Bombyx mori: one gene and its partner. The protein of the gene in region 1 interacts with the protein of each later gene in a biochemical or structural test. Links are inferred from orthologs where the notes say so. Each region holds a gene or a part of one and is shown on either strand. Other genes may lie near its edges.

Evidence for each region.
Region 2: the proteins of E3 ubiquitin-protein ligase AMFR (region 1) and ubiquitin conjugating enzyme form a complex in vitro, tested with the Homo sapiens proteins (7 studies listed by BioGRID, with this or other methods). The link is inferred for Bombyx mori from reciprocal best matches to the Homo sapiens genes AMFR and UBE2G1.

What each region holds. Positions count from the first base shown.
Region 1 is NC_085125.1:14,678,166-14,681,994, reverse strand, and holds part of E3 ubiquitin-protein ligase AMFR, read left to right. Parts: intron 1-399; coding exon 400-657; intron 658-1,469; coding exon 1,470-1,622; intron 1,623-2,577; coding exon 2,578-2,688; intron 2,689-2,764; coding exon 2,765-2,943; intron 2,944-3,829. UniProt on the Homo sapiens protein: E3 ubiquitin-protein ligase that mediates the polyubiquitination of lysine and cysteine residues on target proteins, such as CD3D, CYP3A4, CFTR, INSIG1, SOAT2/ACAT2 and APOB for proteasomal degradation.
Region 2 is NC_085122.1:9,586,077-9,590,676, forward strand, and holds the start of ubiquitin conjugating enzyme, read left to right. Parts: upstream 1-1,487; 5' UTR 1,488-1,575; coding exon 1,576-1,621; intron 1,622-2,000; coding exon 2,001-2,103; intron 2,104-2,437; coding exon 2,438-2,535; intron 2,536-3,216; coding exon 3,217-3,395; intron 3,396-4,600. Other genes in the region: myb-binding protein 1A, read left to right, coding at 1-694. UniProt on the Homo sapiens protein: Accepts ubiquitin from the E1 complex and catalyzes its covalent attachment to other proteins. In vitro catalyzes 'Lys-48'-, as well as 'Lys-63'-linked polyubiquitination. May be involved in degradation of muscle-specific proteins.

The DNA of each region.
Region 1 (3,829 bases):
TGTTTAATACTTCACTATTAAATTTTATTGCCTTTTGTTTATTTCACTTTTACACTAAACACAATATTGCAAATTACCCGAGCACAACAATGGCGGAGAATTTTAAGTGCGTGAGAGCAGACGTAGACACTAACGCGCATGCACACTTGTCAGTACCCAGGGAGGAGAAGTTACACTTTCATCCCTGTACAGCGGTATGAAAAATTTGACTTTCTTCCCTGTACAGCGGGAGGAAAACCGAACGGCGTAGGTAGGAGAAAAATAGATATCTAGTTTTGTTTGTTCAGTTGAAGCTTTTTACAGTGTTTATGATTACGATAAGTAGGACGGTAACGAGGAGCTAAGTACCAACAAACGTATTTTTTTTATTGTTATAATATAATCATATTTTGTTGACAGACATTAATAAACATAGCGTACTGCTTCCTCGCCGTCTTCGGTTTCCTGATCCAGCGCGTCGTCTTCGGTCAGCTCCGGGTCTCTGAGGCTCAGCGCGTCAAGGACAAGTTCTGGAACTATGTCTTCTACAAATTCATCTTCATCTTCGGAGTAATCAACGTTCAGTACATGGACGAGGTGATGCTGTGGTGTTCTTGGTTTACTCTCGTCGGCTTCCTGCACCTGATGGGGCAGCTGTGCAAGGATCGATTTGAATATGTAAGTTAGCTAAACTTGATTAACTTAAGATAACATAACAGCAAACTGCGATAATATTTCTTCACTCTTCTAGCAATCAGTCCTTTATTAGGCCATACAAAAGAATACAATATCCTAGAACTAGGATAACTCACGTTAAAAGATATACTAAAAATCTGAAAATACTACTAACATGTGTACCATGTAAATGTGTACCATTTGTGTGTAAGTGTATATGAGGGAGTGGCCCACAGTATCTTAAGAAAGCGTCGGAACGCTACTTCGACAAAGCGGCGACTTATCCGATCGAGACGGAGCAACGCAAAACCGCCGTCGTCCGAAACATGTCTTGTCGGATCTCCCGCATTCACTCTCGGTGCTTTAAGGATCCTCAAGCACCGATCACCATCCTCGTCGAACTTATCGATGACGACGAAGAGTTCGACGGCACAGCCCATAGATATAGCCTTTTGAGTTTCTCGCCGGATTTTCTCAGTGGGTCGTGATTCCGATCCGATACAAGGTTATCCCGTTTTAAAGTTGAACAAATTGCTTACAGCTCCTGTGTGTAGGAACTAGCATATTATTATAATTCGTCGTGAAATCTCCTATCCCGCGTACAAATATAGTTTTCGAGAAAATCTAATAAAACTACTTCCTGAAAAAAAATATGCAAATATTTTTTTAGCACATACGATACTTCGATCTACAACACAATACAAACCGACACTTAGGATTTTTTCATAATATATGACATCATTTTGGCCCAAAATGACACATAGGAGATTTTAAATTTGCAACGACGAATTGTAATTTGGGAATATTTTGTTCAGCTAGCGTCGTCGCCCAACACAGCACGTTGGGTGCATGTTCGACTGGTCGGTCTACTCCTGGGTATACTGGCCGCCTCCACTGCCTTATTGGGCGTTGCAGTCGCATGGGGCTTGCCCGCCGGAAAGGATACTTTCGCGTTTATGGCTGCTGAAGTAAGTTTTATTTTTGGATATCGATTACAAGTTGTATACGAGTCTGCGGACAGGGGAGATACCGGCTGCATGATGAGCACGTAGTGTACTGATGACAACAGAGAGCAGATAGAGGTAATCTCGAGCGACGTGCTTGCGCCGACACGTCGCGTGCTTAGATAACTGACTGACTATGAGTATATGAGATGCATCAGGATAATAAACACAATTTACAAAACACATTTCTATGTCACTAATTTCTTATACCTATGCATAACACGAATTGTTTTTGTTACAATATAATCTATACTGGTTAAAAAAATAAATGGGTGGAATAGTTTATTGTCTCTCTCTTTCTTTACTAATTAATTAAAAAATATTGTATTTTTCTTCCTATTTTCCCTACGCAATCGTTGGTATCCTGAAGGTCTATTCTATAACTACGCGCGGGCAGTATCTGCATCTATTGAAAGTAATTTTAGCTGCATTAGTGGGTTTCACCCGCGTCGGTGTACACGAGACACGGTGTAGTTATGCGTTCGCGGTAGGCAGCGGCTTGTCTCTGCCCCTGGCATTGCTGAAGTCCATGGGCGACGGTAACCACTCACCATAAGGTGGGACATATGGTCGTCTGCCTACAAGGGCAATAAAAAAAAGTTACCTTAATTGAAATGAAGTGAGAGTAGCGCGTTTTTTTTTATTGCTTTGATGGGTGTACGAGCTCACAGCCCGCCTGGTGTTAAGTGGTTACTGGAGCCCATGGACATCTACAACGTAAATGCGCCACCCACCTTGAGATATAAGTTCTAAGATCTCAGTATAGTTACAACGGCTGCCCCACCCTTCAAACCGCAACGCATTACTGCTTCACGGCAGAAATAGGCAGGGCGGTGGTACCTACCCGCGCGGACTAACAAGAGGTCCTACCACCCGGAATAAAAGCGCGTTCCAAGTTCCCTGTGTGGGTCTGTTCCAGTGCCTGCTGGTGCTGATGTCGGTGCTGCACGTGGGCGCGCGCTACGTGCTGCAGCAGCGCGGCGCGGACGCGGCCGGCGCGCTCGCCTACTACACGCACCTCGGCTTCGATGTAAGCTCCGACACCGCGCACCCTCACTGCACTAGCACTCCACACCCGGCAACACTAATGGCGCCGCCGTTTGCAGTCGGCGTCCCTTGTGCTCGAGCTGATGCACGTGGTCCACATGGTGGTGTACAGCAACATGTTGGTGTCGATGGCGTCGCTGGTGCTGCTCATGCAGCTCCGCCACCTGCTGCACGAGCTGCAGGCGCGGCTGCGGAGGCACCGCCTCTACACATCGCTCGCGGACCACATGAGTCGCAAGTACGTCACCGTCACCTCTCAACCAGTCCCTTACAGTGTGCTAGCGGCGTGGCCTGCCGCGTCCCTCACGACCTTCATGTTTTACAAATCAAATCATATCAAACCAAAAAAATTTTATTCAACATAAATGAAAGTACACACTTGTTGAACGTCAAAAAGAACTACCGCCAATTCACAAAACCAGCCTCCGCCCTGAGAAGAACTGGCAAGAAACTCAGCGGGCATGTTTTTTTTTTTTAAATATTAGATTTTTTTTAAATATTCATTTTTACAATGATTATTATAACGTAACAATTATTGCATTATTGAAATGCCCTGAGCGAGCAACTCATTCCCACTTTGTGCAATCTTCTAGATAATCATTGACTTTATAGTAAGCTTTATTGCACAGATGTTCTTTAATAGTTTTCTTAAACCTATGTATATGTAGGCTCTGAACATCTTGTAGGATTTTGTTGTACATTACCCAAACGCTGGGTTACTGATTAACTTATTCGTTTACCTACTTATTAACTGCAAATGTATAACTTGCCACCACATCGGCAACGGGCGCACGATCTAATTTTTATTTTTTTATTGCTTAAATGGGTGAACGAGCTCACAGCCCACCTGGTGTTAAGTGGTTACTGGAGCCCATAGACATCCACAACGTAAATGCGCCACCCACCTTGAGGTATAAGTTCCATGGTCTCAAGTATAGTTACAACGGCTGCCCCACCCTTAAACCGAAACACATTACTGCTTCACGGCAGAAATAGGCAGGGTGGTGGTACCTACCCGCGAGGACTCACAATAGGTCCTACCACCAGTATAGCGACCGGTGTCTTTAAAATAATTATCGATAAAATAAAAGTGTGAATTGCTCCCTAATGCTACCGGTGGGAGG
Region 2 (4,600 bases), on another chromosome or scaffold:
CGAAAGCAGTAGTTTAAAGTCACCAAAAAAGCTTAAAACGTCTCCCATCATGGAACTGCTAAAGGAAGCAACACAAAACTACTTCCAGAACCGCAGTTGCTTGTTACCAATCATTCTGTTTCACAACGTTCTACAAATGGAATGGGAAGGAATTTATGAGTTAGCCCCGATCGTAATCGAGAATGTGTTCAATCCCGAAGTTAGACAGTTCCGGCGCAACGAGGGATTGGAACTTTTGGCGGGCCTGTATCGAGCCTTGAAGAGAAACAAACCCGAAACGGATAAAGCGCTCGCTTGCCTAGATAATTTGGAAAATAAATTTGATATTACATTAAGAAAAACACTGAAGGGGCAACAGCAATTGGCTGTCAAAAACAATTTCTTCCTATTACTAAAAAAATTGATAAACAGCATGAAAATTTTCCACGAGAGCTGCCATGTTAAATGTAATTTAGATTTTAATACTTTGTTAGAAATCGTAGGTTCTTGTAAGGGTACACTAAAAGCGAGTGAAAATAATAAGAAAGCTAATGCGATTAACCAAAATAGTAAAAATGGTGAAATCGCGAGTAAGCAGCCTAAAAAAAATTTAAAGAATAATATAAAAAACAAAAGAAAACTAGAACACATGAACGGACACGCTGATGCGCACGGAAAGAAAAAACGAAGAGATTCTGAAACAGTTGATTTGTAAAATATTTTTTGTATAATTTATCATTTTCACAATGAATATAATTATTTTACATAATTTAAAAATTTCGTCTTTCTTTCTTCCCTTTAGTTTAGTAAAATATTAACTCAAAATATGCATTCAAGCTTTGACTACCTAACTTTGGATATAAGTTATTCAAACATAATTTATTTAAAACCAAAGCTAGTATGTACATAGCGACATCTATAAAAAAGGTTATTACACTCTGTGAAACGCTCAATAGGTGGCGTTATAAATATCCGCTCTGAGTTACTAGACCAAATAAAGTTATTAGAAGATTGAAGTGTGGAACACATGAAATACCATTGTTTTGGATAAAATATTTCTTAGTTTTTAAGGGCATGCACTTTGTGACAGTTAAGGGATTCAGTAACTAGACTAGACTCTAATACTTTTAAGTTTTGAACAATAGCTTCATTTCTTTGCCTCCTTAAAAATTACAGAAAATGTTGACTAATCTCATCGCATTATTTAAACCTAATCAACAGAATTGTCGTAATCAATATGAAGTTTGGCGTGTAGAAAGGCTCAAACGAAGCGATATGTTTTCTTAAATTCACTAACTTCTTATGACAATATAATACAAAGCATTTACCAGAGCTCAAGAGCTTTCCTACGTTACTTAGATAGTAAAAAACAATATTGAAAGAATAATAAAATTATATTTTAGCTGTAAACCAAACCATATAATTAAGATTAATCAGTGACAGTAGAATGACACAGAAAATATATGGCAACACAAAATCAACCGGAAGTAAGTAGTAACTCATATGTTTCACAACCTGCTCAAAACTCTGCCAGCCATCTTTTGTCGAAAAATCATTTGTTTCGTGTCTTCAGGGTAAATTTCACAATTGTAATTAATGTCAGAGCCACAGTCTTCGCTTTTATTAAAAAAGCAATTAGCTGGTAAGTTCTTATTTAACATAAAACTCATGTATAATATGCCAGTCACCGCGCTAGTCAAGTTCTGAACGAAATTCGTTGACCTTATCGAGTCAAATTTGGTAACTATTAATTGTAGTATTTAACGCATTTATAGATTATATTTCAGGTCTAATGGAGTTAGGTTAATTAATGAGGAATAAACCTGCCAAATAAAATCAATATCCGTTGCGATGACAGGTACACTTTGCCAAAGTCAAACTGTAGATCGAGTGTATTTACGATTTGGATTTGGCAAAGGTTCACATTACTGGCGAACAATGCGGTTAAATGTCCATAATCTTCCGATCTGTGCATTGTCGTTTGTAAAATGAGTGTCTTTTAAATCTTTTTTTTATTTCAGAACTGAACAAAAACCCAGTAGAAGGCTTTTCTGCTGGCTTAATAGATGACAATGATATATACAAATGGGAAGTCCTCATTATTGGTCCCCCAGACACACTATAGTGAGTAAATACCCAAGTTATATATAGTTCAAAGCTATATCTCTCAGTAATCACTATTATTAATTGTTTGCATATTGTAATGTTTATAAAAATGCTGGTGGTATGGTGTATAGCCTTTAAGATGTGTAGATGTATATCATCCTGCATATTTTTTGAAAGAAGCTTCAAGTTATTCAGTTCTGATGGTTCAAGGCAGGTGGCAACATTCACATTGTGATGTCTAAAGACTCCTGTAACCACCATACAGGCTGCAAGTTTTTTAACCATCTATTTAATAAAGAAAAGTATTAAATTATGAGACATGTTGTTTATTCTTAATAAAAATAATTTTCAGCGAGGGAGGTTTCTTTAAAGCACATTTAAATTTTCCCAAGGAATATCCTTTGAGACCACCCCGGATGAAATTTGTGACTGAAATATGGCATCCAAATAGTGAGTATGATGATAATTTTTTTTAGTTAATAATAGTAGAGTATTTTTAACATTTTAAGTTTAGATTACTTTTATATTGACTTAAAGCTAAACAAACCCATTAAGTTTGTTTTGCGAGTGCTTATCATAAATTAGATGTCTAAGTATTTTTTGTTTTGTTTTGATACACTGAATTAGAGAAATATAGCATTACTGTAAAGTGCTTCACTCATTAAAATCTAAGGGTAATTTGATTGGTACAAATTCATTATGATTACAGCTAATAAATATTGTATAGAAAATAAATATGAAAACTACAGTATTTATAATTATTGAACGTATTGTTCATCCAAACGAGTCTGTACTGTCCTGACTATTTCTGTTTCAAAGCAGTGTCATTCAATACAATTGAGACTGACTTGATGTCTAAAACTGGATAATGACATTTACAAAATGGGATCTTCACTCTGGTAACTATAACACCAGGTGGACCATTACACAATTGACTCCATATATCCAATAAATAAATAAGAGTTTAATAAAAAAGCAAAGGTGAACTTCTTAGTACCATGGATTTACTATGTGGGTGCCTTCTATTATATTTTAGAGAGGAATTTATGGTGCAGGTTTAAGGAGTCCCTACAAATGTGGATTACACTCGAATTATTTATGTAATTAATGTAATGAAAATATGACTTTCAGTTGATAAAAATGGTGATGTCTGCATATCAATACTTCACGAGCCAGGTGATGACAAATGGGGTTATGAAAAAGCTTCAGAACGATGGTTACCTGTGCACACAGTTGAGACTATACTGATCAGTGTCATTTCAATGCTCGCTGATCCAAATGATGAGAGTCCCGCTAATGTTGATGCTGCAGTAAGTGGTTTTTTTTTTGCACGTAAAATGTTTCCATTTTAATTCAATAATTTCATTGTAGTTGTAAATGTTTTTGTTATAGAATATTATATTATATATTACTTAACCTATTAAATGCATTTGTAGCAATTTATATAGCTTAGAGCAGGCAGAACATGATGCTAATATACCAAATAGTTGATAGGCAAACTGTTGTTTGTGTTGTAATGTCCAAAATTAAAACTGATATTTCAGTTCGCTTTCTTTAATTGAATTTAATAATTTAATTCATTAATGAATGAATTCACGAATGAAATTTAATTCATTAATATTTAAAAATTAATATCATTTTAAACTTTCAGACACACATTTGTATATCATTAGGGAATTAAGCAGGTAGCGATCACTAACATATTATTTAAACACATCACACACAAAGACACTACTTTTGTACTAAGAGAGGCATAATATAATCTTCCCTAACTAGATATCTTTACTATTCTCGATCATTATTTTTCTGAAGTATACCTTAAAATTTTGGATATGTATATTTTTTTAACTCTTGGATTTCCCTAACAAAGAAATAAAATATTTATCAATACAAAGTTGTACTTTTATCTATAAAATATAAAATGCTTCTGTAGGAATAATTTGTATTATGTAGATAGTTGATTTAACTAACTCTCTTGTACAAACCTTTTTTTTTATTGCTTAGATGGGTAGACGACTCACAGCCCATCTGGTGTTAACCTAGCAATGCTCAGAAACAAATTATGCATAAGCAAGATATAAGCCAGGCAAAATTCAAATTCAATCTTAGTACAATTATTCAAACTGATAGAGAATAGAAACTGTTCTATAAATATAGAATCTGAACATTTAATATGTGGGCGTACATACCTTTACGCACATTGAATTTGAATGTTATTTTTAAACAGTGACACTATGCTTTTTGTTGTGATTATAAGGAACATTACAAATATACTGATTTATCAAAACTGTCCACACCCCACCCATTGTACAGTTATGACTATGCCACACCTCTGCAGAACCAATGACAAGTGTAAGGTTTCAACTCACAATATATAATGATTTTTGAACACAGAAGTAGAATAATGAAAGAAAATTTGAAAAATTTATTTTAATATTTGCTCAATTGAGAAGGTTATAATTGATAAATTTTGTTTTGAAGTATTGAAGTATAAATTAAGTATTTTGGTTCATCT